Linked DNA regions of Saccharomyces cerevisiae S288C. The protein of the gene in region 1 binds, or shares a complex with, the protein of each later gene. Each region holds a gene or a part of one and is shown in the gene's direction. Other genes may lie near its edges.

Region 1 (8,323 bases):
ATGATTGAAGCAAATGGAATTGTTGGTAGCGACCCCTACTTGTCACCCGAAGTCTTTTATTTCAATGAGTACGATCCAAGAGCACTTGACGTTTGGTCCGTGGGGATAATATTCTTTTGTATGATAACGAGAAGATTTCCTTGGAAATATCCCAAAGTGAAAGATGTTCAATTCAAGGCATTTTGTTCCGGAAGAGGTGTGTCATCTTTTAAAGATCTTGTGACACGGCCTGCTACCGATGACAGCAATAATTATGATAATGATGGCTACGAAGAAGGAGTCATTGATATGGGTCCCAATTTCATTCTGCACAGACTACCAGAAGAAACTCACAAAATAATGAGGCGTATACTGGAAGTTTCACCTTTCAGAAGAATTACCATAAACGGAATATTACAAGATGGCTGGATCAAAGAAATAGAAACGTGTCAAGTTGTGGGCGCGGCAAGCCCAAATGAGGCATCGCTTCGAATAATAAACAAAGGTAATCACATACATACAAACATCGATCAACGATACGCCCACATTGGCGGCCTGCATCAGCGAACGTAACTGGAAGAATAGCAATGTCATACTGGCCATATGCTCCAGCTTTTACTTACGCAAGTAATACTTACAGCACTGTAACCATAGGTACATATACGTGAAAATACGACTATATCTAATCTAATCTGTCATTTATTTATTTATTTACCGTCGGAAAACCAAGTCCGCTTGAAAAGGGTTACCCATCTGGCGGCTATGTGTGCGGCGATTCCGCAGGACCGAATTTAATACTGCCTGACGGCGTGCCACAACAAGGAGCAATTGGGGTAAAAATACACATTAATAGTTGAGTAGGACAAGTAACTACGAGTCAACGGCGGCATCAATAACAATAACAAAAGTTATACTGTCGACATCAACACTGACAAGCGTTTACTCATTGCTGCTGTTTAGTCAGAATTCTTGTTATATAAGAACAACCGGTTTCTAAAAAATACATTACCTTTTGGTATAATCCTTTTTGTGATTGTCACGATCTCAACAAAACATACAAAACAAGGATATTAAATTCACAACAATAAAAAGAATAAAGAATGCTTTTTGATAACAAAAATCGCGGTGCTTTAAACTCACTGAACACACCAGATATTGCTTCTTTATCAATATCATCCATGTCGGACTATCACGTGTTTGATTTTCCCGGTAAGGACCTGCAGAGAGAGGAAGTGATAGATTTGCTAGATCAGCAAGGGTTTATTCCCGACGATTTGATCGAACAAGAAGTAGATTGGTTTTATAACTCATTGGGTATTGACGATTTGTTCTTCTCGAGAGAATCTCCCCAATTAATCTCGAATATCATACATTCTTTGTATGCTTCAAAGCTAGATTTCTTTGCGAAGTCCAAATTCAACGGAATTCAGCCAAGGCTATTCAGCATTAAAAACAAAATTATAACTAATGATAATCATGCCATCTTTATGGAATCTAATACTGGTGTCAGCATAAGCGATTCTCAGCAAAAAAACTTTAAATTTGCTAGTGACGCCGTCGGAAACGATACTTTGGAGCATGGTAAGGATACCATCAAAAAAAATAGGATTGAAATGGATGATTCTTGTCCACCTTATGAATTAGATTCCGAAATTGATGACCTTTTCCTGGATAACAAGTCTCAAAAAAACTGCAGATTAGTTTCTTTTTGGGCTCCAGAAAGCGAATTAAAGCTAACTTTTGTTTATGAGAGTGTTTACCCTAATGATGATCCAGCCGGCGTAGATATTTCCTCTCAGGATTTGCTGAAAGGTGATATTGAATCGATTAGTGATAAGACCATGTACAAAGTTTCGTCGAACGAAAATAAAAAACTATACGGTCTCTTACTTAAGTTGGTTAAAGAAAGAGAAGGTCCTGTCATTAAGACTACTCGCTCCGTAGAAAATAAGGATGAAATTAGGTTATTAGTCGCTTACAAGCGATTCACCACTAAGCGTTATTACTCTGCTTTGAACTCTTTGTTCCACTATTACAAGTTGAAACCTTCTAAGTTCTATTTAGAGTCGTTTAATGTTAAGGATGATGACATCATTATCTTTTCCGTTTATTTGAACGAGAACCAGCAATTGGAAGATGTTCTACTTCACGATGTGGAGGCAGCATTGAAACAGGTTGAAAGAGAAGCTTCATTGCTATACGCTATCCCAAACAATTCTTTCCATGAGGTTTACCAGAGACGTCAATTCTCGCCCAAAGAAGCTATATATGCTCATATTGGTGCTATATTCATTAACCATTTTGTTAATCGTTTAGGCTCTGATTATCAAAACCTTTTATCTCAAATCACCATTAAGCGTAATGATACTACTCTTTTGGAGATTGTAGAAAACCTAAAAAGAAAGTTAAGAAATGAAACCTTAACTCAGCAAACTATTATCAACATCATGTCGAAGCATTACACTATAATTTCCAAGTTGTATAAAAATTTTGCTCAAATTCACTATTATCATAATAGTACTAAAGATATGGAGAAGACATTATCTTTTCAAAGACTGGAAAAAGTGGAGCCTTTTAAGAATGACCAAGAGTTCGAAGCTTACTTGAATAAATTCATTCCAAATGATTCACCTGATTTGTTGATCCTGAAAACACTGAACATCTTCAACAAGTCTATTTTGAAGACAAATTTCTTTATTACAAGAAAAGTAGCAATATCATTCAGATTAGATCCTTCCCTGGTGATGACAAAATTCGAATATCCAGAGACACCCTATGGTATATTTTTTGTCGTTGGTAATACTTTCAAAGGGTTCCATATCAGGTTCAGAGATATCGCAAGGGGCGGTATTCGTATAGTCTGTTCCAGGAATCAGGATATTTATGATTTGAATTCCAAGAACGTTATTGATGAGAACTATCAATTGGCCTCTACTCAGCAACGTAAAAATAAGGATATTCCAGAGGGTGGCTCTAAAGGTGTCATCTTATTGAACCCAGGATTGGTAGAACATGACCAGACATTTGTCGCCTTTTCCCAATATGTGGATGCAATGATTGACATTCTAATCAACGATCCATTAAAGGAAAACTATGTCAACCTTTTACCAAAGGAGGAAATATTATTTTTTGGCCCAGATGAAGGAACTGCTGGTTTCGTGGATTGGGCAACTAACCATGCTCGTGTGAGGAACTGCCCATGGTGGAAATCATTTTTGACTGGAAAATCCCCATCTTTGGGTGGTATTCCCCATGACGAATATGGTATGACTTCTCTGGGTGTTCGTGCTTATGTTAATAAAATTTACGAAACTTTAAACTTGACAAATTCTACTGTTTACAAATTCCAAACTGGTGGTCCGGATGGTGATTTGGGATCCAATGAAATTCTTTTATCTTCGCCAAACGAATGTTATTTGGCAATTCTGGACGGTTCAGGTGTCCTGTGTGATCCTAAAGGTTTAGATAAAGATGAATTATGCCGCTTGGCACATGAAAGGAAAATGATTTCCGATTTCGACACTTCCAAATTATCAAACAACGGATTTTTTGTTTCTGTGGATGCAATGGATATCATGCTACCAAATGGTACAATTGTAGCTAACGGCACAACCTTCAGAAACACCTTTCATACTCAAATTTTCAAATTTGTGGATCATGTCGACATTTTTGTTCCATGCGGTGGTAGACCAAACTCAATTACTCTAAATAATCTACATTATTTTGTTGACGAAAAGACTGGGAAATGTAAAATTCCATATATTGTGGAGGGTGCCAATCTATTTATAACGCAACCTGCTAAAAATGCTTTGGAGGAACATGGCTGTATTCTGTTCAAAGATGCTTCTGCAAACAAAGGTGGTGTCACATCTTCATCAATGGAAGTGTTGGCCTCACTAGCGCTTAACGATAACGACTTCGTGCACAAATTTATTGGAGATGTTAGTGGTGAGAGGTCTGCGTTGTACAAGTCGTACGTTGTAGAAGTGCAGTCAAGAATTCAGAAAAATGCTGAATTAGAGTTTGGTCAGTTATGGAATTTGAATCAACTAAATGGAACCCACATTTCAGAAATTTCAAACCAATTGTCCTTCACTATAAACAAATTGAACGACGATCTAGTTGCTTCTCAAGAGTTGTGGCTCAATGATCTAAAATTAAGAAACTACCTATTGTTGGATAAAATAATTCCAAAAATTCTGATTGATGTTGCTGGGCCTCAGTCCGTATTGGAAAACATTCCAGAGAGCTATTTGAAAGTTCTTCTGTCGAGTTACTTATCAAGCACTTTTGTTTACCAGAACGGTATCGATGTTAACATTGGAAAATTCTTGGAATTTATTGGTGGGTTAAAAAGAGAAGCGGAGGCAAGTGCTTGAGCTTCAATAAAATTGTTTTGTATAAATTAGTTCTGCCGTCAGAAAAGAAAATTAAACATATGTGTATGTTCTTCTCAGCGTTTTATTGTGTACTAAGTAAAGTTGTTTATATGTCCATTATTTTTAATCTAAAAAAAGCATTTGATATTTTTTCCTTCGAGTTATCCATTATACTAGGCAGTTCTCCTCAGGGAGCCATGCTTCAGCTGAAACTTTAGGAAAGGCGCGCTACGCAGGAAGCGCTCTTATTAAAGGGTTTTTCAAATAAACTAAAAATGAATAACAACGATCGAAAATCAATAAAAACTGCAGGAGGCAGCATGTCACTTTCAAATAAGACTGTAAAGGAATTACGACAACTACTAAAGGAAAGGTACACCGTGGAAGATGAACTAACTGAATCTATAGCGCTATCAAGTATGCGATTCAAGCCGTCGCAAGAACCTGAATTTCATGCGCTAAGCCAATCTTCCTTGCTCAAAACTAAACTAAAACAACAAAGTAGTACAGATATTCCGAGTTACACCCACGTACTTATATCAAAATTATCATGTGAAAAGATCACCCATTATGCAGTTCGTGGAGGAAATATTGAAATCATGGGCATATTAATGGGGTTCACATTAAAAGATAATATTGTTGTAATGGATTGTTTCAATCTTCCCGTAGTAGGGACAGAAACTCGCGTAAATGCACAATTGGAGTCATACGAATATATGGTTCAATATATCGACGAGATGTATAATCATAATGACGGTGGTGATGGGCGAGATTACAAGGGCGCTAAACTGAATGTTGTTGGCTGGTTCCATTCACATCCTGGTTACGACTGTTGGTTAAGTAATATAGATATCCAAACCCAGGATTTGAACCAGAGATTCCAAGATCCATATGTCGCAATTGTGGTCGATCCCTTGAAAAGTCTGGAAGATAAAATTTTAAGAATGGGTGCATTTAGGACAATAGAAAGTAAAAGTGATGATAATAGTGCCACTTCATACTATGAACTAGAAACAATCATATTTGATTCAGAATTGAACCGAGCGCTATTTGAAACAAAGTTAAACTTACATTGCGTAATAGAGGATGATGAGTCAGAACAAATATCATTAAATAGATTGATCGATTCAATGAAGCAGTATAGCTATTTGATGGATTCCAAAAATGTTAGAACAAGGATTAAGTTGGCTACTACCAGTGAACGTGTTAGCAACGAAAATAAAAAAAACATTGACTATCAAAACCGTTCAACAAGGTCTCAGTTCTGCCTCAATACGCAAAGGGGGGATAGCACTGAAACAAGCTCCTTTGGAAGCATGTTTTCAGGTGATAATACTAGTGACGTAGATATGGAAGATAGAAACCTTACCGAGTTCGACAGTACTGACACTAGTCTGTGCATAAACGGCGAACCGAGCATTCATGTAAATCGCGTGGAAAGAAGCAGCAGGTCTACCGACAATTTTCACAATTCTAAAAAACGCATGAACAGCAATCAGGAAAGATGTCATGATGAGGGCAATGATATGTTACAGAGAAATGTCTTGGAGACAGATTATGCAAGAGCAAAAAATCGAATACTTGCGTCAAAGATAAAACAATATGAGCGGTTACGTTTTTACAAGGACACCTTTACATTATGAATTCCTAACGTTGCTCCAATGACGCTGCAATAGCTTATGTTTATCTGCAACGTACTTTTAATAGTTATTCCTTCTTGAATCTCTATAAGTATATCTATACCGGGTGACAATTTGATATTTTCGTACGCCGTTATGTGTTGGTTTTTGGTCTTACTGATAAAATGGCATCGAGCTTACAACTGAAGAGAAAGACGATGCATCAGTCAACTTAATTCTCTAATAAAACAGACAGCATTTCCTCGGATCCATTTCGTACATATAAAATCCGAAGCTTTTCAGGACAAAATACTATTTTTCTGTCACTACTAAACGGGATAGTACTAAACGGGATAGTAGAGATAGCTGCCAAATAAGATCAAGAAATTGTGATTTTAAATACTTTATACGAAGATGGTGTACACAGGATTTGGTTTGGAGCAGATAAGTCCAGCTCAAAAGAAACCTTATAATGAACTAACTCCGGAAGAACAGGGTGAACGGGGTGCTGAAATGATCATGAACTTCATGACTTCCTGTCCTGGAAAATCAGTTGTGAGTGGTGTAACAGGGTTTGCACTGGGTGGTGTTTTAGGCCTGTTCATGGCGTCAATGGCATATGATACACCTCTTCATACACCTACACCTGCAAATACAGCAGCAACTGCAACTGCGGGAAATATAGGTGTGGGTGGAATATCAAGAACAGTTCAGCAAATATCTGATTTACCTTTCCGGCAGCAAATGAAACTTCAATTTACCGATATGGGTAAAAAATCCTACTCTAGTGCTAAGAATTTTGGCTACATTGGTATGATATATGCTGGGGTGGAGTGTGTCATAGAGTCACTTAGAGCTAAAAATGATATTTACAACGGAGTAACCGCAGGGTTTTTTACCGGTGCTGGGCTGGCATACAAAGCTGGACCACAAGCTGCCTTAATGGGTGGTGCCGGGTTTGCTGCCTTTTCAGCTGCAATTGATTTGTATATGAAAAGTGAGGATGGTAGACCACCTCAAAACGATTTTAAAGAATGAATAGCCAATTTCGACGAACGATGAATGTTTTATATTTGTAAATATCACCTATCTTAATATTCTGCACGACCGTCCCAGAATTTAAGAACGCTTAATAATTTCCAGAACTACTGTTACTAGTAAAGCAAAAAAATTCCCTGGGAGAATTAATCATGCTTTAACTAGACTCTGGGCCGATCATTTTTGCTGGAAGAAAATGGGAAGTGTAAAAACGATACCCTTTCCAATTTTCCCATGTCGATGAATTCGAGGCGTTAGAGACTGTCGCTAAACTCAAGTGATAGTCACACTTTAATATTAATAAATTGGAAGATTTCAGTCACATATTTGACAGAGGAAAATATAAAAATAAGAAGTAATAAAAGTAAATCATTATATATAAAAAAAATTAAGCATTATTCACACCTGATAAGGATTTTCTAAAAGACGACGCCATTATTAGAACAGGAGCAATTCAAATCGTTAAGCAAAGAAAAGAAAAAGAAAAAGAAAAAGTATGTGAAGGGTATAGACGAACAAAAAGGAAATCATTGAATTTATGGCATTTGATTGACGTTCCTGTTTGGTTCTGCAGTGCTACCACTCATAGCGCCAGAGTGAGCTCCTTCTGTGACCTTTTCTTGATAAGACCGATCACCTGACTCATCCGTAGAGTAAGCGTGCTGGTCCACTGCACTGTTAGCGACATTCGCAGAACCAGGATTACGATCGTTGGTGGTGTAACGCGTCTTAGGGTCCGCTGTTGTTGTGGTGTAACGTGTGTTGGTGGTGGTAGTATGGTACTGCCCATTGGGGTCATTAGTTGCATAGCGTGCGTCGCCATTCGGTTCAGATGTGTAAGCAGCATTATCACCTGCACCTGCTTCGACATCACCGGTCCTAACATTGGTGTTATCGTAAGCAGCTGTTTCTTCAAAAGGCTCGCTTAAAGCTAGTCCGCTCCACCTATGGAGCTTTGTACCCATAGAAGCGCCGCTTCTCCACATTCCTTGGGTTTGATAACGCTTCCTGATAGGTGTTAAGACATTAATTCCCAGTAATATCACACTGATCAAAAACAGTACAAAGCAAAGGCCAGAAAAGGCGATTGCCGCCTGAGAAGAATTACATGCTCTTCTATGACTGTCAGCAGTATATTGGCCACTGTACGGATTATAGTATAATCCGTCTGCATTAGTGTTGCTACAGCTACGTTCACCTTGAGCTTTGGCAAGAACAACGAAAGCTGCTAGCCATAGCATACAAACGATCAATTCGGCACAGAAGTACATTCCTATGTAGATCAATGTGGGTAGGGCCAGACACAAA
Region 2 (7,583 bases), 750 kb from region 1:
TCTTTCAACTTTTCGGGCTGGTCCAATACTTCATGTACCTTTAATATCCATCTATTTAATAAAATCAGCCTAGCCATATCAATTATATTGTCCTCCTCGTCTTCTATTTTCATTAGGATTCTTGCTATTACGTATACCTTCGTGACGATGTCGTTCGTCTCGTCGTACATTTTTTCATTAATTCTTAACACATGTTTTCTTACCATTATGCTATCATCGTTATAGTTGTTGTTAATTTGTTGATAAAATTCGAAGTATGAAGAATTAATACTGACCAAATCTAGAATGGCATCCTTGACAGATGCAGATGAGTCGTTTAAACGCCGGTGAATAGTTTCTTTAACCATTGGGTTTGAAAGTATCACTTTGTCTTTTGAAGCCAACATCGAGAGACATTTAATAGCAGTCGATCTCAGTTTGATTTTATCCTTGGCTAGAAGTGATAATATCAACTTCAAGTATGGATCGTATAGATTCAGTAGTTCAAAGGCGTGCAAAATAGAAAAATAATCCAATTTAATCGTACTAAAATCTGCTTCTCTGTTCTCTAATTCGGGTCCAAGTCCACCATCTTTTATCTGCTCCAATATTTTTTTCAATTCATTGTCAACGGTTATAATTTGTTCTTTGGCATCCTTTGTATACTCTTCTAATATCAAGATCGTACCGAGCCTTAAATTCCAAAGGAATCTTGTTGCAGAACGACGGCATTTGATCGTTTCATTATATGCAATGCATTCTTCAAATGATTTAAAAAAATGCGGCAAAGTTTCGGGGTAATTAATCATTTTAATCAAGTTGTTATCTTCATGGTCTCTAGTTGAGCATTTAATATCAAAAATTGTAGAACCAATATTCCCTATAAGTTGTAAACATATTGTTTCAATGTTTGCAGAAACTTGCATGGATGGGCTGTATACACTTAGAAGTCTCTTTAACAAAGAGCTTAGTATTTTTTCTGTTACAGGCCACTGAGGGGAGGAAATTAGCAATAATAGATCTTGGACAAAGTTGTCAATTACATACCTTAAAGCGGACGGGTTCTTGAAAAACCTTTCCAGTATTGTGTCATTTATATGCTCAACAATGTTAAAAAGAAATTCTTCTTGCTTTTTGTATTCGTTCTTTAATAGATCAATATTCTCTGGTGCAATATCCTTCATCTGATTACAGAAGGAGTAGCAATTAATATTCTCTAACATTGACATTAAAGTAAAGGTAAAATCAGTGATATAAATGTTTTGGTTACCAACTTTTCTTAGTTTTTTTTGTATTCTCTTAGTGGGAAGCTTTTCGATATGAGATAGTAGTTCTTCTATAATAAATCCTCTCTGTTGATCAAAACTACCGAATAATGAAACTAAAATATCAGAGCTGATTCTCTTCACATTATCCCAAAAACTTTGAAATTGGATATTCGTAGTTGCTTCAATGTCATTATTCATCAGCAAGTCGCTAAAGATGTACACAAGCTTTGCCGTGACATTATCATCCAGAAAAGGGCCGTTACGTATGTATTTCGGTAGCAATTCTAGGGCCTCCTGGAAAGTGTCAAATTCTATCTTCAAAGAACCATATTCAATTGTTAATATTTTTAGAGATTCTATCAAGTCGCTTAAAAAATTCACCGGTTCCATGATGTATGATTCCCGATGTAAGTTGCTGTCATTCTTACCCAGTAAAAAAATATTGAATAGTACAATTGTAGAAAGCAAAGCAATATATCGTAACATAGAATCATCTAAACCCATCTTTAAAGAGCTTTTACTGAACTTTATATTACAAACCATCACATCAAGCAATCTCAAAAGCCATGTTATTTCGATTGAGTTCGATAGCTGTGGGTTATCGGTAATATTTTTAATTGTCATTTGTAATTTGGTTAAGCAGTTTGTAGTTAAAACGAATTTTTTATTTGGCAACTGGAGCCAGTACTCGATATTTCCAATTTCAGCAGAGTTTTGGTCAAATCCAACAATATCTAAAATATTTTTAAGATCATTCAAATATTGTTCCGCTAAATTCGCTTGTGTCATGGTTACACCTGTTGAAGTTTTGGTTTTCTTGTTGGAAGAATTGTCGTTGAAACTCAAGTTACCAGCATTCGAAGTCACACTTTCGAGCTTATGCTTTGCCTCCGGTCTGCTTACTATTTCACTTTTTTTCTCGATGTTAATGGAATCATTCAACCCTTTATGGGTTGATAGAACACTCTGCGCTAGCGGTGATAATCCTTCCAAAAAGTTAGTTGGGACATAATCAACAGAATTGGCTGATGACGTAAAATTACTGGGTCTTTTGAAAACAAGCCTTTCTTTTTCGGCCTCATTCTTTATGGAAGAAGTAGTGCTGTTAGCTGTACCTAGAACATTTATATTAACATCTCTGCCATCATCAGCGCTGGTAAAGATAGTCTTGTCAAAAGGTAAAGAAACCCGCATTGGGGCATTTACTAGCGCGGCTAACCCATCCTTAGGAACCAGATAACTCAAAGGCAGGTCTTCTAGGGCCTCTATTATTCTTCCAGGAATATTCTTGTCTTTCCCTGGGTACGACATTGCTAGCCGCCAATTCTTTCAAAAAATGAATAGTTATAAGAACAATACTCTCACAACAAACGAAAAGCCTGAGCACACAGGAGCAAACCAATACACAAAAGAAAAATTGCTATAAGTGGAGCACTCGAATGTGACTTGTTGTTATCGAACTCTAAGCCTGAGCTAGAAAAAACTTTAGTTACTAAACTGCATCGTTCTTTTTCAGCCAGTGTTTTTTTTAAGCGAAGTGGCGGCAGTTTCGCGTTTAACATAAAAGCAATACCACTTTTACCTGTTCGGGCAAAAGGAATAGATATTTGCATATTTGGCAATGAATAGTGCTAATGATTAGGTCATAAAAGCTATTTGTTAACAATGTTCTTGCTTCCTAAGACCTTACTTCATAGTATAAAAATTGGTAATAATGCTACAAAGAGTGCTATTTCGGTAACATCAAATATTTGTCAACAATACTCTATACATCACGAAGTCTACGGCAACTGCGCAATAACACAGTCAATAATTCTATAAATTAGCAGTTTATTGCAATCCCTATTCTTCGATATGCAGATAATAAGATCCGCTATGTCAGACCTTTTGATAGCGAGGATATGATCAAGTTTATAAGTCATACAAACATCCCATAAATTGGAAATACACTCTTCTCTGAACTCTAGAAAAGCATCACCCACTGGTAATACTCTTGGTGGCCCCATCATATTGTCATTAGGAAACAAAGAATGTCGTAATAATGAGAATAAGTTGCCAATTGTCACAGGGCTGGTAATTTTAGTTTGAACAATATTGTCAAATGTTCTATACATGACCCTGTTTAACGCATTTAATTTAGAGATCCAATGCTGAAGCGTTCTGCATATTGAGAATAGGAATGGCTTCCTCATAGATAATTTGAAAAAATCATCGGTGAAAAAAGTAAAAATATATCTTTGTAGAAATGCTGTTTCTTGAATTTCGGCAGTGTTCATATTTGCTGCTTCTGTTGAAGTTGAATAAGCTAAAAGCCTGGTCATTTGCAATATTTTGTGCTTTACATTGGAAACAAACAACCAGGGATCGCATTTAGGCTTTCCATGAGTCACCTCGTTTCTGGTATTTCCTGCAGAATTTAGCTTTATTCTTATGCAAATTTTATTCAAGCCCTCCAGAAGATAATATGGTTCCGCTATTGAATTAAAAATATGCCCGAACACAAGTTCATTTAAAAAGCTATCCAAAAAGCTTCTCTGTAGTAGAGATTTGGTGCTCATTTTACTTTGTATGATTTCAGTGAATAGCATTGGATATCGTTTCGAATCATACAAAGTTAGCTTACAGTACTGTTCATAAACTAAATCGTTATTTTGAGATGAGTCATTTAATGCTTTCAAGTGAGACGAAAGCAAGCAGGGAATATAATCGAGTAAAAGGGCATGGTAATTGATTTTGGAACTCTTCAAATATGTTATTAAATCTTGAACTAAGTTATATAGTTCGGTTAAAAACTTGGAATCATCAGTGGGTATTTTGATACCATACCAAGACTTAACGAAATTTTGGAAAATTAAGGCAATAAAGGTATTTACCTGTAGGTCTGGCAAAGCTTCTATGCTTCTGATTTTCTGATGTAATGAATTTGGGTATATAGAGAAACATAAATCCCTTAGATACTCAACCGAATCTTTTTCAAATTCACTCTCAAACGAAACATCATTACCAGAATTTTTCGTATGACTACAATCTTTCTCCCAAATATCTCCACTCGATTTAGAATTCAGTCGTGTATGTCCTTTTTTTGACAGAAAGCCTTTATATTGATTTGAGGCATTTGGCCTTCGGTACTTGGTAATTAAACTGGAATTGGTGTTGTATAAAATGGTAGGCATCTACACATATAGAAATAAAGCCGTGCAGTATATATTGACTTCCCTGGCTCTTATCGCGTTTGCTTTTTCTTATATTATTGTTATCTTGCCTTTGGTTCGTTGTATCTTAGGGAATGCGAAAATTATTGAGCAACTCATCATCAACTTTTTTAATATGTATTTATATTACGGACAATAGTAAACAAAGAAATAAAAAACAATAACAGTGATGACCTACGTAGTACAGATAAGAGAGAATGGTAATGAGGGAAGAAACAATAAAATCGCTAGAAGATCCTTACAAATATCACTACAAAGAAGAATGGTTAAATACTAAAGATCCCGATGAACAACAATTATTCGAAATATTTGCCTTTGGAAACATTAAAGATCTACCGGAAAACATAATCCTAACATCATTAATGCGATCAAAACTGGAGAAATTAACATTGGTAACATTAAGCGAAATATATAATGAGTTAAGTTACGAGTTAATTAAAGAAGAATGTCAAATTGAAGACGATGGTATCATCGAAAGCCATTTAATTCAGCTACAGAATATTTTTAAAGCAGAGATGGATTCAGTCAGTAAATCTATGAAATTTTCAAGAAGATTTGACTGTAGAGATGTGTACTGTCATGAAAAGGAACTGACTATAATTAAAAATCCGCGAGTGACGAAAGAGTATTTAGTTCAAAATCTTCGGAGCTGGGAAACAAAGCTCAAACAGAATATATTGGAGTAAATCAAATATGAAAAAGGCATAATAATGACGATATTAGGAAGTAACAAATAAATAAAAGAAAAATAGAAGAATAAATAATAATAAATAAATACTAGTAAATATGGCAAAGGAATATACCGGCGGAAAACAAGGTAAAAGCAAAAGATAGGAGACACGTCGTTGCTATAGATGTGCATGTTACATGACCGAACAAATGATTCGTGGTGATTTATCTACTTCTTGGCTTCAATCTTTTGACTGTTGTCTTTCTCGGAAGAATCCCATAGACTTTTTACTAAACCAACAACACCATCATTCTCGGTTTCTAGTTTATAGATTCCAAAAAGGGAGACCGCAGAACCAAGGCCCAACATATACATGGCGTACTTGTGCCAAACACCATAAACTCTTTCAGAAATATAATCGGTGATACAAGAGTTAAATTCCATGTAACAATATCCCAAAAGCATGACAGAAAAGAAAGAATCAGCTGCAGTGGATAACGGACCGGTTGTCAGCATAGCCGTCGTAGCCAATGGAACGACGGACAAGGCAAAGATTTTTTCCATATACCAGTGGTATGAGCCCTCTAATTTATTCTCAGGGGGGGGGACGTAGGCATCATTGGGAGTGCCCCTAACACCACCTGGTTTCTGGGGTAATACGGGCAAAAATGGGATAGTTAAGCTCTTCTTAGCGGTAGACTGGAAGGCCCTTACTGTGGCAGTATGGAAAATTCTCCTTCCAGTCATAAATTTCATGGATCTTGGCAACATCATAGCTATTATAAAGCGCGTAGGAAGAAAGTCGAAAGCGTAGGAAAGATCAAGAAAACAACAGAATGGGAAATTAGATACGACTATCTTCCAAAGCAGATATTTATCCTTCTATCTTTGCCTTAAAGCGATCCGCAGTCGGTCCCCTGATCGCTCGAGGGCTTCTCCTTATATAACTAAATTGCGCCTGTGTTCTTCCGAAGGTGCCCCGGAATAAAAAAAACAGCAGCGATTGGCTCAATGCTTATGGCACATAAGGTGTTTATATATTCTAAAATAACATTTAACGTGCCGTATTATTCTTTTACAGTTATGTGATCATCAAGAACACGGATGCACAATGAAACATCCTCGCTTGGTGTTTTACTCATATAGTTTATTTATTCTTTATTTACTTACTTACTTGGTGCGTTTTTTTTTTATCTATTCACTTCAACAATTCCTCGATGATACGGTTGGCTGTGTTGTTGTCATTGGGGTCTAAGGACTTGACGCCTAATCGTCTCAACACTTCCACAATCTTGTCCTTTTCAAAACCTTGAGATTCAAACTCGTCAATCAGATCGTGGTCAATCCCATATAAATCAGACTCCTCTACATTGCCTTTTTGACCATTGGAAGTTTCACTGGCGTATAACCTCGTCCATAGTGCAGCAGTCTTATTAAAAGATTCTCTATCCCGTAAATAGTGTTGTGCTACTTCTGCATCTTGAGGATCGTTAGGCTCTGGAGATTGTAGTAGCGCCTGTAGCGAAATCAATGCAGACTTTAGTGTTATCACTGGCGACCATGCATTCTTAAGAATATCTAAACAAATGGCACCTGTCACTGATGATATATTTGGATGGTATACTTTTGTGTCGAACTGCATCTTTGGTGGTTTGAATGGATACTCCATAGGTACTTCGATATCCACGACAAATTTGCCACCCTCGTAAGGTGTTCCAGGTGGGCCCAAAAATGTGCCTTTTAAATGGTGGATATCAGATTCACTCACAAATTCAAGAGTAATGTGAGCTGCAGGATCATCCTTCACAGCTTGGATTTCTTTCATAATTCTCTTAGCCCTAGACATCGCTTACTTCTTACTACTACTACTTATATATATACCACTTGTTTTTTTTAATGTATCCAACCACTAAATTACGATACTTATGTCGTCACACTTGCTTCAATTGACTTTACCTATACGCCCGCGATCGGAAGTTCATGCATTCAACTGTCATCTCATTGTTTTTGCCCCTCCAAATATTTCAGATGGAAGAAAATGTAACAAAAAAGGATATTAATGTTCGTATTATGTGACTATTTTTTTTTTTTTATGGATAGTTATCCAAATTGTTAGTTATATGCGTTATTATGCTACGTATTTTTCCTTAGAGTTCGTATATTTTAATTTAGTTCCACGTCCTTATTAGTGTTTTGTGCAAATACATCGGCTTCATCCTCATCTTCTTCTTGGTCCATGTCCTTGAATACGCTTTCATTGGGGATTCTCTTCATAATTTCAGGTTTATCAAACAATGGACCAATCTTATTAATCCACCTTTGCCTTTTATCCAGAAGGGATTTTAAACTTGAGTTTGCAGCCTTTTGTTGTGCTATTTGAGACGTGGTTCCTGTGTTCACATTATTTGAAGCTGCTGTATGATGCTTCTTTCTTTTCTTGGGTACGCGAATACG
Region 3 (5,294 bases), on another chromosome or scaffold:
TGGTCATATTTTTTATACATATATACATACATATATGCATGTGCTGTGTACTACATGCTGCCTTTCTTCAATTTTTATGTATAGACAAGGAGGCCAGAAAGATATTATAAACAATGTTTTTTATGTGAACTTCGAAGTACTTTGAAAATCAACCCTCCCATCTTGCGAGACGGTCGCAATAAACAGTGAGGGTCTGTTGGCAAGCTCAATGATCTTTGAATTTACATCGTTAGCCACTTGTTTCTCTAAATTGACACCGTTATCATTCACGTTGCTCTTCTTAACGTGGCCCTTGGACGTTAGTTTAGTTAGAATATTATCTTTGGATGTTGTCATTTCATGCGTTTGAATCAATATTGTTCTTGGACCTTTAATCTTCATAAAGTACGAGTCGACACCATAAATGTATCTTTTTTCGTACTGGTTACGGATCCAACTGCGCATTCTTTTGAAAAATTGAACAGTATGTCCGTAAGCAGATTTTAGCGTTTGGTTCTTAATGAATTTAGGTGCCACCGTATCATTACTTGAATCTCCGACGTACGCGCCTTCCACGTGTAACTCTTGTCTCTCCACTGAATTTGCAATATCCAATTGACTTTGGCCGTTGATGGCCAAAATGTTTCTGGAATTAACCAGAATTTTGTCGCTTTCATCAATTAACTCAATTGAATATACCAACCCACCTCCACATACTAACACATTTCCTCTCCCATTCAGAATTTGAAATTTCCGTGGTAGTTGTGATTTTGATGAGTTCGAGACTAAAGACCTTGCAGAGGGAAAGATAGGCGATTTGATTTCCAGACTGGAGTTCTGTTCAAATGCGATAATTGAATCCTTGCCAAATACATTCCAATCCTTTGTCCCGGTCAAATTCAGTACGGACAAGCTTCTTGAAGAATCGAAAGGTCTTCTCGATGTTTGAAAGTTTGGGGCAGCCAGAATTTCTAAAACGGAGGATCCAATAATTCTATGAAACAATGAAGATTTGAATGAACGAAATTTAATCAGGTTTGACCAAAAATTCAGCCATTTATAGGAAAGGGATAAATGGTTCAAATTGTGAATGGAAACTAGGCAATCCTTTTTGATACAAATTGGAATATCTGGTTGAACAGTGATAGATGCAATTTTACCATTTTCGTCTACTAGCCTGAAACGGGAAGTCGCAATATCCTTGCTTAAGTTCTCGATATATGTCCTTTCTTTAGTTACGACATTACTCTCCGTCTTGGCCGCTTGTGGGCTCAAAAGAGAAATTGATCTCTGCCAAACTCGAGTATTCACCCTTGGGCTTATCATGATGGGTGGATATCCTTTTCTGTGCTTCTGTTTTGTTTATCTGTATCCGTTTATTCGCCAGCCAATAAAATGACTGGGAGCACGGGACCTTTGAAATTTTGCCCTTGTTAGTAAATCGTTATAAAAATACTTATATAGATATTTTATAGAAAATGAAAAATAAAAGAAATAGCCAATATGTAGGTATATCGAACTTAAAGGTCACCTGTCGAAATCATTTCCTTCTTCTCTCTTTTTCTTTTCAATCAGATGTTTTAGAGCGGTCAAGCAACGTAAATACCAACGTGTGCTATCGCATTAGTCGTTTTGTGATTGGCCATGCTGCTGCTTCACGTACGTAGCACTACTTAATGAAAAAATACGATCATTGTTATTGAATGCAGAATCTGCATGGCTGTGGTGTGACTTGGAGAAGGTATCAAACCCTTTTATGATGTTACCAGAATAGTGTGATTTTGACCCATGGGCTCCCCCATGACCTGAATGGTTGTTATTACTATTGTGTGAGAAATACTCGGTCTCTTTATCATATATCTCTTGTTGTAAGTTGTCAAAGGTATCTTCTTGCTCTCTTCTATCTTGGAGGGACTTTTTTAGTTCCGCTTTCAATGCTTCATAACTTTTCAGCTCATCAGTCATTTTCTTCTAGGCGTAGGTTGGTAACAAACGGAAAGATGATGGAAAATGGCTGTTCTCTAAAGATGTTTATCTTACGTATATTCTTTGCTTTCGTTGTGGCTTTACACACCTTTAATCATTAATTTAATGGCATAGTCGGCAAGTTGTTGAAGGACCTGGGTTAATCGCCTACATGTGAGGTTTTTTTAAAAATATCAATTACATTTAAAAAAGGAAAGCAGTAGTACCAAAAATCGGGCAAAAAAAATTTACCTAAATAAAGGAATGCATAAATGAAGCCGTTTAATCTTTGTATTTAATGAGAATATTACATATGAAGGTCTCTTGAGAAAGCATCAATAGTGGACATTAGCTACCTTTTAAATAAATGAACGGGTATGTCACCCATGGGTTCAAACTCTTCATCATCCTCGTCTTCACTGCGTACTTCATCGTATTCGTAACCCAAATTTTCTTTTATGTAATAGTGATCTTTCTTACTTTTCCTCTTTTCCAAAAGGTCATCGAATTCGTCCTCTTCCATATTCATTTGATTGAATTTGTTAAGTATTCTTTGTAAGAATGGTGTGTTCTCCCCAGCAGTTGCCGTGGTATTAGCATTCTTCATAGTATTCCTTGGGGGTAGCAAGGGAGGACCCGATGTTGGAGTTGATTCTGAACTACGGCTTGGAGCAATATTTTGCATACGTTGTGACCGATTAGGCGGAGGGTTCGGTTTACGATTGGGTAGAGTGTTATTTATGTTGCTATTAACATTATTATTGGGCTTACTAAAAAAATCGTTTATACTCTTTTTTCCCTTGAGCATATTTGGTGAATTATTTACGTCCACAAATGTCTGTTGAATTCTTTTGGTAAAAGTAGAGAGGTATTCACTTGGGTTCTGGTTACCTAATTTCTGTTGTCCATTTCGGGGCAGTGTATCTTTGAACTGTAACTCTAATTGTTTTAATTCTTTTTGGGCGACCTCTAATTTGAAACTAAGTTCATTGATTTCTCTGTGTTTTGCAGCTAATTTATATATTAAATCTTGGTCTGTTGAAATCGGACTTGCGTGGTCGCTCACGGGTGACTGATTTGTCGTAGATCTTTGCGGACTTGATATAGGTATAGCAAGTCTTTTGGGCTTTAAAGGTGTCGTAACCCTTGGTGATTTTGATTCAGGCTGCACTTCATGTTGTTTTTGATGCGGCTGTTGCTGCTGTCCTTGGGAGTGTTTATCGACAATCGACAGCTTATGTAATTCAATTGGTTGACTAATTACACGCTGGTCTTCTGACATTACTTTAGGGCGTATGTATGGATGTATTTTGTATTGCTTTTGGCTAGTTAGTAGTATTCCTCAATCGTATTGTTTTTGATTTTGAAAAAGCTAACGATAAAGGTCAGGAAAAAAAAAGAAAATTGTATGTAAAGGAATGTCTGGAGAGAGTTACACAGGAACAGAAAGGTCCAGCAACGGTTTCTACAACCAATCATGGATGTTGATATAGGATGTTATTTTGAAGAGAAACGCTATGACGACAAACTGTTAGACTTCATCAGATATGACGTTAAAACACCTAAAAAGACTAAATATATACTACAAAGGCCTACGGCGACAGATGAAGAGAGTGTACGATTACAAAGGTTTTACCAATTAGGAGTAGATCTAAAATTGAAGTATTCCAAGCGGAGGTCATTGAAGAAGCAAGGGCGGATCAAGAATGCTACTGAGGAATTGCTGCGATTAGCCAATGAACAGTTGAAACTTTTCAACAGAATAGTAGAAAGAGAAACCAATTGGATAATTTATCCGCTGTGGGTAATGGCTAAACAATTAATTCGTCTGGCAAACGAATCTAGTGAACTTAATAAAGACTCAATTGAGGAATGTGGACGCACTATCCATAGAAGCTTTACTATATGCCTCAATGATAGGAACCCAAGATTGAATGAAAATAAAAAAATCGGGTGTTATATGTTTGCTAATCTAGAGTTTTCCATCTACCATCGGTTAAGTAATAAAGATATGATTAAAAATTTAGTGAAAGTCCTCGAGAGCAGAGTGAACGCCCGGGATATACCACCGTTGAATAAAAGCCTGGCAATGGAACATAAGTCTCAAGTGGTGTTGTATAATTATTATCTAGGTCAATACTACGGATGTCTGGAAAACGATCACGAACGCGGGTTCTTCCATTTAAATGAAGCATTATTGCAATGTCCAATGCTATATGTGGAATCTACCGGCAAGTTCGTCTTACAGGGCCAAATGGAAAAGATAATGATACTGCTGGTTCCGCTTGCTCTTTTAACTAAAAGGTTGTACCCTCACTGGGATCATCCAGTAATCGCCGGAGTAATTACTAGGAGTAAGCGCTTAAGTCAAGTTTATCCGACATTAGTGCGTAGCGTAATCTCAGGGAACCTGTCACTGTACGAGGCTACCGCAGCAAGCCATGAAAGATTTTTCCTTTCGCAAGGATTGCATGTCGTCATCACATTACTTCGAGAGGTGGTCTTCACTCGGTTGGTACAACGATGTTGGCAATGGGGGAATGATCGGAAAAGTATCATGCCCTTGAAAATTCTTCTGGCAACAAAACAACACGATAGTTCTGCCAATGAGGACGAAGAGGAGCAGTTGGATGCCCTAGAATGCCGTCTAGCAAGTGCTATAGCAAGTGGGCTTTTGCGTGCTTATCTTTCTCACTCCAACCGCTGCATCGTTTTCAGTAAGAAGGAGCCCTTTCCCCATAGCAAATGATAGAAAAATAGTCAATAATTGAACGAAGAAAAAAAAAAGAAAGTTTGTTCATAAAAGAATATCATATTATATATATATATAGGGTCGTATATATATCGTGCGTCTTCTTCCTTCTCTAAGGGTAAAATTCCTTGTATTTGTTATAATAGTAGTAACTGCCGAGCCCACCCAAAGCTGTCAAAACGACAGGGACAGGTTTAGTGAACCTGGAAGGCATGCCTCTTATGACACCAGCACCAAGTAGTAAGGTCGATGCACCCAATGCCATTTCGAGCCCACCATCTCTATTCATATGTAGCAAGTAACCGGCAATCCCATATACACTACCGAATACTAAGCCAGATACTAGAGATGGAATGGAGCCCTTACGGTAGTATCCCATAAGGCCACCGGCTGTAGTCAAAAGACTCAATGTATATGCTGGATGTTCCATAGTGTGATCTGATGTTCCTTTCTCTCAAACTTCGTTTCTGTCTTGTCTCCCGCTGTTACCTAATAACTTCATGTGATCTGCTCCCCCTTCTCGTTAAATACCACCTTTTCATCAACCCCGTAGGGCGCGACACGTCTAAAATATTAACCTCTGAATACTTATTGGGTC
Region 4 (8,906 bases), on another chromosome or scaffold:
TTTGAAAGAAACGATTGAAAGTGTATGTAGTTTATGAATTACAAATGAGTAACAATAAAAAAGTAAATATGAAATTTTCATTTCAGTTAACTTACACCTTGAAACCCTTAGATCTTCTTCTACCTCTAGCTCTTTCGAACTTTCTACCGGTGGACAAGATTCTTGGAGCCTTACCCTTGTGTGGACCCATACCGAAGTGTCTGACAGCTTCTCTGGAGTTTCTTGGACCTCTCAAGATCAAAGTGTTTTGACCCTTTGGAGCTCTGACAGCTAATTGATCCAAAGTGATACATTCACCACCAGCCTTAACAATCTTGGCTCTGGCACCAGCAGTGAATCTCAAAGCAGCAACAGTGGTCTTTGGGAATTCAAAGATTCTGGCATCGTCAGTAACAGTACCAACAACGACAACAGTCTTGTTAGCAGCACCTTCTTGCTTCAAAGCTCTAGCAATTCTAGAGACAGAAACAGGTGGTCTGTTGATCTTAGACAAGAACAAAGCCTTCAAGACAACCTTGTTGAATGGAGCATCAGTACGACCTAAAAAAAAAAAATGAAAAAATGTTAGTAACTAATGGATCGAAGGACCGGAAAACAATAGTTTTCCGTACAAATATTTCATTAAATTAGAAAAAGATTCTGCTCACTGGTTTGCAATACCGCACAAAACGTGATGTAAAAGAAACATATCGTTCCTCAAATATACCCGTTTGCACTCGCAGAATTTTAATACGTCTAGCTTCTTCTGGTATGACTATTTTAGCCAGATTCAGTTCAATAAATTGACCAATAATTTGTCACATCAGAAGCAAAGCTAGATGATCGCGAAAAACATTAACCAATATTTTTCAGCAAACCATAACGAATATTTATAGAAAACCAATGAACTTACCAAAGTTCAGGATAATCTATTATATTCAATGTAACAGAATCCTTCTAACCATAATTGGCGTTGGTTAAAACCCTTGATATTATTCTTGAACATACGAGCTAAGAAAGTGTATAATTTGACTAACAATTTCAAGTAGACATTGTCAGACTTTGGAGCAGTTCTGTGACCAGATCTCTTGTGTTGCTTGGAAGTGTGATCGATACCCATTGTGAATCCGTAAGCTTGATGATCTCTTCTTGTGATGGATCCAAAATGGCAGAATTGATGAATCTTCAACTCAATTTGTTTTAAATTATCTCATACAATATTCCTTGAGGAACCAGAATCTCACGGCAGCACCAAGTCAGAGAGAGTGCGTGTGTTGGAGCGAAATTTCCACTGTAATCTCCAGCAAGAAAAAAATTTCATTCTGAATTAGAAAAAAAAAAAAATAGAATTAACACCCATGCATTATTGTCTTCGGTAAAAAAATTCATATCCGTACACCACATAAGATATGTAGAAAACAGTCTTCGAAATTATGAATTCTTGGCATGACGCTAAATATGTATATATGTATATATGCTTTAGAGTTTTTAAAGCTAGATCGACTATATAGCCACATAGGTATCAACGAAATACCCCCCCCCCCCCCTATTGGAACGCTTCTGAACGCTGACCTTAAAACTTACAAAGCTTCGCACCAACGCAAATATGCCTTGATATTATATAACATGCCGCACCTGCCGCCATTAACGCTGAATTGAATATTATAAAATGGTTATAATTTGCAACTGTACCTTTACCGATTAAGGTACCGCCGATAGGTAAAACCGGAATCGTTACCAACGCTTGCAATAGATATACCGTTGCATAACGTTTACCAAAATCAGTAGTTTTAGATATCTGCCCGATGCAAACGGGTGTCAGTGATAGGATAGAACCCGTCGAAAACCCCCACAAACAAACGTACGCCCAAAGTACCTTTGTATTACCGCCAAATGGCAGCCACATGACAAAATTAAATAAGGCAGCCATTGAAATGGTGATAATTTCTACATTGAATCTCCCGATGAACTTATCCGCAAAATAGCCTGGTATATACCTTCCAAGTATACCAACAGCATTCGAAGCAGTGATCATGGTATAAGCAACATTTTCTGTGTTTCCTCTTGTCATAGAATAAGATGCTAAATATGTAGCGCATGAAGTTAGGGAACTTTCTGCAAAAGAAGCGCCTATTGCGACGAACAAGAATTTTCCTTCCAAAAAATATCTCCAATTGAACACAGAGGAAATGTACCACTTTGCTACTTCCGCCTTGGATTTGAATGGTTGAACGACCGGTTTAGTTCTTTCTCTAGCCAAAACTGAAGCACAAATGAGGCATGTTAAACAAATGAATGATAGGATTCTAATGGCCCATTGAAAGCCCACTTCTTTATATAACTTTCTCAGCATAATAGGGAAAACTATACCCCCTATTGAACCCCCCATGGTACTTATAGATGTTGCTATACCCCTTCTTTTTAAAAACCAGGTTGCAACAGTTCCTATCAGAGGAGTCATTAAAATTCCCGTCCCAAGTCCAGAGCACACAGAAAATGCCAAAATGAACTGCCATACGGACTTACAATTTGCCAATGCGAATAGTCCTCCAGCATATATGACTGTACCTGTGCACATCAAACCAATACTACCATTTCTATCAAAATAGCCACCGGATAATATACAGCTTAAAAAGCTGATAGCTAAGTATAGGGAAAAAATCCAAGATATTGTTGAAGAAGATATATTTGCCAATTGATGTTTAGAGATATATGATTCAATAGCCCCTAAGGAGTTGATTAAGCCAAAAACCGGGACCAGTCCCATAAACGCACCAAATACTACCAGCCATGCTTTTAACCCACCATCTGGGAACTCTCTGTCATCATCATAAATCAAAGAGGCCTCTGGGGTGTTTAAAACTCTTGAGGTGACGTTCGTTAACTTATTAACGTCAAGATCTACTTGATCGCTGTTCTTTTTCAAAATCGCGTCCGCTGCATTGAAGTTTGGATTATATCCTGAACTTGGGCCCTCCCTTGTCTCCAGCTCCACATCGTGATCTCTCGTAGATTGCGCTTCGTGATCCTTTGAGAACAGGAACCTCTTGGAGTTAGCAATTATGGGAATGTTCAACATCCTCCGTTTGTTAAGTTTATGAAAAGCTCTTTCAATATGGTTACAAATAAAACAGAATCAATACTTTCGAGGTTATTTGCCGTGTGCCAAGGAATATTTTCCTTCTCTGAAATAGGCCTTTTGTTATATTTTAGATTCGCCTGTGACTCTTTGCCATCTCGCCTGTTAATTACCGCTCATAGGCACGGCTGACTAATTTGAAGCTATCGAAATTGCTATAAAAGGAAAACTCTCTTATCATCAAGATCAGGCGGATCTCCTGAGTTTCTGACCTATAGAGCCCCAAAAAATGGGATGACATGTACATATATAGTGGTCAACGTTAATATGAGTGGCCTCCCAATGGTACAGATGAAAGAAAAATTTGTTTTTGGCTGTACGGAATTGCTTCGTATAGAAGAAGGTCTTATCTTTCATACGTGCTTTTATGTACTGGTTCTTGCATCCAATCATCCTTATTAGTGTTTTCGTGCGGTCAATATAGCTCATTATGGAGTCGTTTATAATAAATTGACTACCCGCTGGAGGTTTGAGTTTTTTCTTTCTAAAAGACATTCAAGATCATACGGGGGGTAGACAACTCAGCCGTTTCCGGTAGTTATAGTCCATCAAGTGTTACCATAATACGACTGTAAAATTAGCCAATTCCTCGATGTCAAACATCCATTTATATACTGAGAAAATCTTTTATAGATGCCGCTTTTACTGCGACTAGAATTTCATCTATCGCACAATAGAACGTTTTCTTCTAGGTTACTTGCTTTAGATAACTAATTCCTCGAAAGCAGTGACAGTGATCTTACACTTTCTGGATTTCATTATGGGAATGTCGAGTTTGAGATTCGAGTTTTATATGATGGCAACAAGATTGCACAAACTTACTTTCTTACCTTTTTCAAATTTGATCTCTTAATACACACTAAGTATATAATGAGTATAACATTTGTGCATGTATGAGAGTAGTGGCCCATATATGATAACACTGGCGAAAGTACTCTGTAGCTAAATGCCAGGTTGGCACGTTTTTCTCGTTTGCCCAAAGTGCAGCTCCTTTTCGAAGAAATTTATCTGGTCCTCGCTGAAAAATATTATAAGGGGAGCTGGATCAATTGTTTTGTGATCTCTTTGACTAAATGAACTATTGAAACGTTTGACGCGGTAAAAGGCAAAAAGGTTCACTATACACAAAATGTCTGATGAAGATAACAATTATGACGACTTCATGTTATCGGATGACGAAGGCATGGAGTCAATTGAAATGGAGGAAGAAACCGATGATGAAGACAAACAAAACATTGAAATAAATGAAGACAATAGTCAGGATGATCAAGATCGAGGAGCGGCACGACATAAGCAACATGAACAAGGCACCTTCGAGAAACATGACAGAGTAGAAGATATTTGTGAAAGAATCTTTGAGCAAGGCCAAGCTCTCAAAGAAGACGAACGATATAAAGAGGCTCGCGATTTATTTTTAAAGATATATTACAAGGAAGAATTTTCATCTGACGAAAGTATAGAAAGGCTCATGACATGGAAATTTAAATCACTTATTGAGATATTACGTTTAAGAGCCCTACAACTCTATTTTCAGAAAAACGGTGCACAGGATTTAGTTCTACAAATTTTAGAAGACACGGCAACTATGTCGGTTTTTTTACAAAGAATAGACTTTCAAATTGATGGAAATATATTTGAATTACTTTCTGATACTTTTGAGGTATTGGCACCCAAGTGGGAAAGAGTATTCTTGTTCGACATCGAGAAAGTTGATAGGGAAAATATGATCTGCAAAATTGATTTCCAAAAAAACTTCATGGATCAGTTTCAATGGATTTTAAGAAAGCCTGGCAAGGATTGTAAACTCCAAAATCTCCAGCGTATAATTAGAAAAAAGATATTTATTGCCGTTGTTTGGTATCAAAGGTTAACCATGGGGAATGTATTCACCCCGGAAATTTCTTCCCAAATAGAGATTCTTGTGAAAGATAATGAATGCTCTTCTTTTGAGGAAAATAATGATTTGGAAAGTGTATCTATGTTACTGCAGTATTACATATTGGAGTATATGAACACTGCACGAATAAACAATAGAAGGTTGTTTAAGAAGTGCATTGACTTTTTTGAAATGTTGATATCTAAGTCGCTTACTTTCTCACAAGAATCTGGACTGATGGTAATATTATATACCTCTAAGATTGTATTCATTTTAGACTCTGATTCAGAGAATGATTTATCCTTTGCGCTGATGAGATATTATGATCGGAAAGAAGAGCTAAAAAATATGTTCCTCTATATCTTGAAACACTTGGAAGAGATGGGAAAACTTCGGGAGAGGGATATTACCTCTTTGTTTCACAAGTTCATTCTTAGCGGCTTCATTTTCACGAGCATGATTCTAGAAGCAATTAGCACAGACAAGATTAATCCTTTTGGTTTCGAACAAGTGAAGATTGCGCTAGGCAGCCCTATTGTTAACGTATTAGAAGATGTCTACAGGTGCTTCGCACAACTGGAACTAAGACAGCTGAATGCAAGTATATCTCTTATTCCTGAATTGTCCGTAGTACTAAGTGGAATTATTCAAGATATTTACTATCTGGCGCAGACATTAAAGTTGTGGAGAAAAATTGCACGATTATACTCCTGTATCTCCATAAGTGACATTATAAGTATGCTGCAAATAAGTGATGACAATGAAATGACAAGAGATGATTTGCTAACAATTTTAATGAGGTCAATAATGAAAAATAGATCGGTTGTGTATTTTAAGTTAGATTTGACAAGTGATTTAGTCTATTTCGGAGACGAGAATAAAGTCATGCTACCGAGATGTTCTAAAGAAGAATTTCGTCTTATGATCTCTCCCAAGGATGAAGAAACCACTGAAAAGGCCAGGCTAATAGATTTTGAGTACGTTAACGATGTCGCGATTTATAATAACCCAACAAGAATAAGAACCAAATCCTCTAAAGAATTTTTCAATACATTAAGAAAATCTAGGGAAACTGTAAAATTACCGAGGGTAAGCAACCAGTCGAATGAAGATACTTTTCTACCATCGTATATGAAGTTTTCCAACAAGTACCTCGAGCTGTGCAAACTGGCCTCTAACAATCTGGAATAGAATGTCGATCAGGCACGTTCGTGTAAACATTACGATTTTGGAATTCCACTTACATAAGATAGCTTCTTTGTAAAAGCCGTTCGAAGATTTCGTTTATAGTGATGCTTTTTCTGGAGAGATTTAAGATAATAAGGATATGTGGAAGGAAATGAAAATGTACACCTACAAAGCGTTGATGGTATGGAAACTATCGACCATAGTTTGTTAAACAGGAAATATTTGCTTGAGGGTAAAGTGTTCTGATTCATTATACAAAGCCCCTTGCTTATAAGAAAAGAAACCAAATCAGAAAAGGAGATTATTTCAAGGTAGGCATCGAAATGGCAAGTAACCAGCACATAGGAGCTTCAAACCTAAATGAGAATGAGGCTATATTAACCAACCGCGTTGCTGAGCTGGAAAGGCGTATGTCGATGTTTGAGGGTATATTTCACGCGTTAAGTAACCGTCTCGATCTTCACTTTAAAAAATATGATGTAGTGGTAAACTCCCAACAGCAACAAATCAACGAACTGACCGCGTTTTTATCAACATTGCTGAATGACCAACAACGCCACGCTGAAATTCTCAGTGAAAAATTAAGCGGAACGTTGCATGGGGTGTCAGCTACGTCAATATCCTTAAGCCAAACTCTTGACCCACAAGGCTTCACTGATGGAACTACGGCACCAGGAGCTCCTAGGAATTATACTTCAGTGCCTATGAATAATGATCAAACTGCTCATCCGCAAAATGAAGGAGCTGTTAGTAATGAAACACTTTTTGAGGACATTTTGAATGGAAATTCACAAGAAAATGATAAGAGTCAACAACAAACTAACAGCTCAAATTCTATAAGCCAAGAAAATAATAGCACCAACCCTTCAGTGGACACTCGGTTCAACAAGCCGCAAAATTATAATTCCAATTTAGTCCCATCCTTGGAAGAGTATTCAGCAAATCCACCTAACAATGATGGTGGCCAAAGTCAAGGACTGTACATAAGCAGCAACTCTTCTCAATCACGGCAGTCTCCTAATCTCCAGAAAGTTTCTCCTAACCATGAAAATGCGGTTGAATCAAATGCACAAGAGAGCGTGCCGACATTTGAGGAGGAACAGTATGAGACTAAAACAGGATTGAAACGGAAACGAATAGTCTGCACAAGACCCTTCGAATTTATCAAGTCACCACACTCTGTGATGGAGGTTTGGAAGGAGTATACAGAAGGTGTTAACGGGCAGCCTTCTATAAGGAAAATGGAAGCTCTTTATCAAACGGCATGGAGGCGAGATCCAGCAGTAAATAAAAGATATTCGAGAAGAAAGGTTCTTTGGAAAGCCATTCAAACTGGCCTTAATCGTGGGTATTCATTAAACTATGTTGTTGAAATATTAGAAAACTCAAGATATGTTAATGATAAACAGAAGGTTAAACAACCTATTGGTTGGTTATGCCACAGTTCTCATATTCCAGAGACTTTGAAGTGACATTTGCTTCTTGTGTATTCACCTTTATCCCAAATTAGCCCTTGTAACACTTATGCTTTTCTTAATAAATTAATAATTGGACTTTCCTTTAAAGTGGGTTGTATCTGTAACAATAATCTCTAATAATATCCTATAAAACTCAGAAGTCAGCCAACAACAATTGTATACGTATACATATCTATATAATATGCCTTGTACTTTACGCTCTTGAATTTAGAATAGCTGAACACCTAACTGAATTTAAGTAAAGGATCCCAAGCGTGAGATATTTAGGTTTACTCAGTTTTCTTATCTTGCCTTTTGATTATCACGTTGAGTGTCGAAGAAACCTGTATTCATCCTCGGCTTCTTGTATATGATTCTAAAATAATGTGTGAAAAAAAAAATAAAATAAAAAAAAGAGGAAAATAATATAGAATAACTATTAAGTTTCATTAAAAAAAAACCATTTGAATATACGACCAAAAACGTTACGCTTTCATAAAGTGTGAATAAGCAAGGGAACTATACTTGAAATATGGGGGCAAAGAGTGTAACAGCCTCTTCTTCAAAGAAGATTAAAAACCGGCATAATGGGAAAGTGAAAAAGAGCAAGAAAATCAAGAAAGTACGGAAACCACAGAAGTCTATATCCTTGAACGACGAAAACGAAGTAGAGATTTTACCTAGTCGTAATGAGCAAGAGACAAATAAATTACCTAAAGATCACGTCACGGCGGATGGAATTCTTGTATTAGAACATAAATCTGATGATGATGAAGGATTCGATGTCTACGATGGACATTTCGATAACCCTACTGATATTCCCTCGACTACTGAAGAAAGTAAAACGCCTTCATTAGCAGTGCACGGGGATGAGAAGGATCTTGCTAACAATGATGATTTTATCTCTCTTTCTGCTAGTTCTGAGGATGAGCAAGCCGAACAGGAAGAGGAGAGGGAGAAACAAGAATTAGAAATTAAAAAAGAAAAGCAAAAGGAAATCCTTAATACTGATTATCCATGGATTTTAAATCATGATCACTCCAAACAGAAAGAAATCTCGGACTGGCTAACCTTTGAAATCAAGGATTTTGTTGCCTATATCTCACCAAGTCGTGAAGAAATTGAAATTCGTAATCAAACCATAAGTACAATAAGAGAGGCTGTCAAACAGTTATGGCCAGATGCTGATTTGCACGTGTTTGGATCATATTCTACCGATTTGTATTTGCCTGGTTCCGATATTGATTGCGTGGTAACGAGCGAACTT

The links.
Region 2: RRI1 (region 1) and CSN9 share a complex: the UniProt entries of both Saccharomyces cerevisiae proteins name them as parts of the COP9 signalosome-like (CSN) complex.
Region 3: RRI1 (region 1) and YJR084W share a complex: the UniProt entries of both Saccharomyces cerevisiae proteins name them as parts of the COP9 signalosome-like (CSN) complex.
Region 4: RRI1 (region 1) and RRI2 share a complex: the UniProt entries of both Saccharomyces cerevisiae proteins name them as parts of the COP9 signalosome-like (CSN) complex.

Annotation. Positions count from the first base shown.
Region 1 is NC_001136.10:66,675-74,997, reverse strand, and holds RRI1 (COP9 signalosome catalytic subunit RRI1), read left to right. Parts: upstream 1-4,678; coding exon 4,679-6,001; downstream 6,002-8,323. Other genes in the region: serine/threonine protein kinase PRR2, read left to right, coding at 1-552; GDH2 (glutamate dehydrogenase (NAD(+))), read left to right, coding at 1,080-4,358; translocation channel protein TIM22, read left to right, coding at 6,392-7,015; YDL218W (uncharacterized protein), read right to left, coding at 7,552-8,323. UniProt on the Saccharomyces cerevisiae protein: Catalytic component of the COP9 signalosome (CSN) complex that acts as an regulator of the ubiquitin (Ubl) conjugation pathway by mediating the deneddylation of the cullin subunit of SCF-type E3 ubiquitin-protein ligase complexes.
Region 2 is NC_001136.10:816,270-823,852, reverse strand, and holds CSN9 (Csn9p), read left to right. Parts: upstream 1-4,656; coding exon 4,657-5,145; downstream 5,146-7,583. Other genes in the region: cohesin-loading factor complex subunit SCC2, read right to left, coding at 1-2,558; NVJ3 (Nvj3p), read right to left, coding at 3,029-4,420; succinate dehydrogenase membrane anchor subunit SDH4, read right to left, coding at 5,358-5,903; E2 ubiquitin-conjugating protein UBC1, read right to left, coding at 6,328-6,975; histone acetyltransferase NGG1, read right to left, coding at 7,293-7,583. UniProt on the Saccharomyces cerevisiae protein: Component of the COP9 signalosome (CSN) complex that acts as a regulator of the ubiquitin (Ubl) conjugation pathway by mediating the deneddylation of the cullin subunit of SCF-type E3 ubiquitin-protein ligase complexes.
Region 3 is NC_001142.9:580,312-585,605, forward strand, and holds YJR084W (uncharacterized protein), read left to right. Parts: upstream 1-3,421; coding exon 3,422-4,693; downstream 4,694-5,294. Other genes in the region: YJR079W (uncharacterized protein), read left to right, coding at 1-36, 742-928; AIM24 (Aim24p), read right to left, coding at 121-1,305; EAF6 (Eaf6p), read right to left, coding at 1,603-1,944; ACF4 (Acf4p), read right to left, coding at 2,297-3,226; TMH11 (Tmh11p), read right to left, coding at 4,809-5,126. UniProt on the Saccharomyces cerevisiae protein: Component of the COP9 signalosome (CSN) complex that acts as an regulator of the ubiquitin (Ubl) conjugation pathway by mediating the deneddylation of the cullin subunit of SCF-type E3 ubiquitin-protein ligase complexes.
Region 4 is NC_001147.6:93,304-102,209, forward strand, and holds RRI2 (Rri2p), read left to right. Parts: upstream 1-4,247; coding exon 4,248-6,185; downstream 6,186-8,906. Other genes in the region: 60S ribosomal protein eL18 RPL18A, read right to left, coding at 92-540, 988-1,099; MCH4 (Mch4p), read right to left, coding at 1,553-3,058; YOL118C (uncharacterized protein), read right to left, coding at 3,305-3,613; MSN1 (Msn1p), read left to right, coding at 6,506-7,654; non-canonical poly(A) polymerase PAP2, read left to right, coding at 8,172-8,906. UniProt on the Saccharomyces cerevisiae protein: Component of the COP9 signalosome (CSN) complex that acts as an regulator of the ubiquitin (Ubl) conjugation pathway by mediating the deneddylation of the cullin subunit of SCF-type E3 ubiquitin-protein ligase complexes.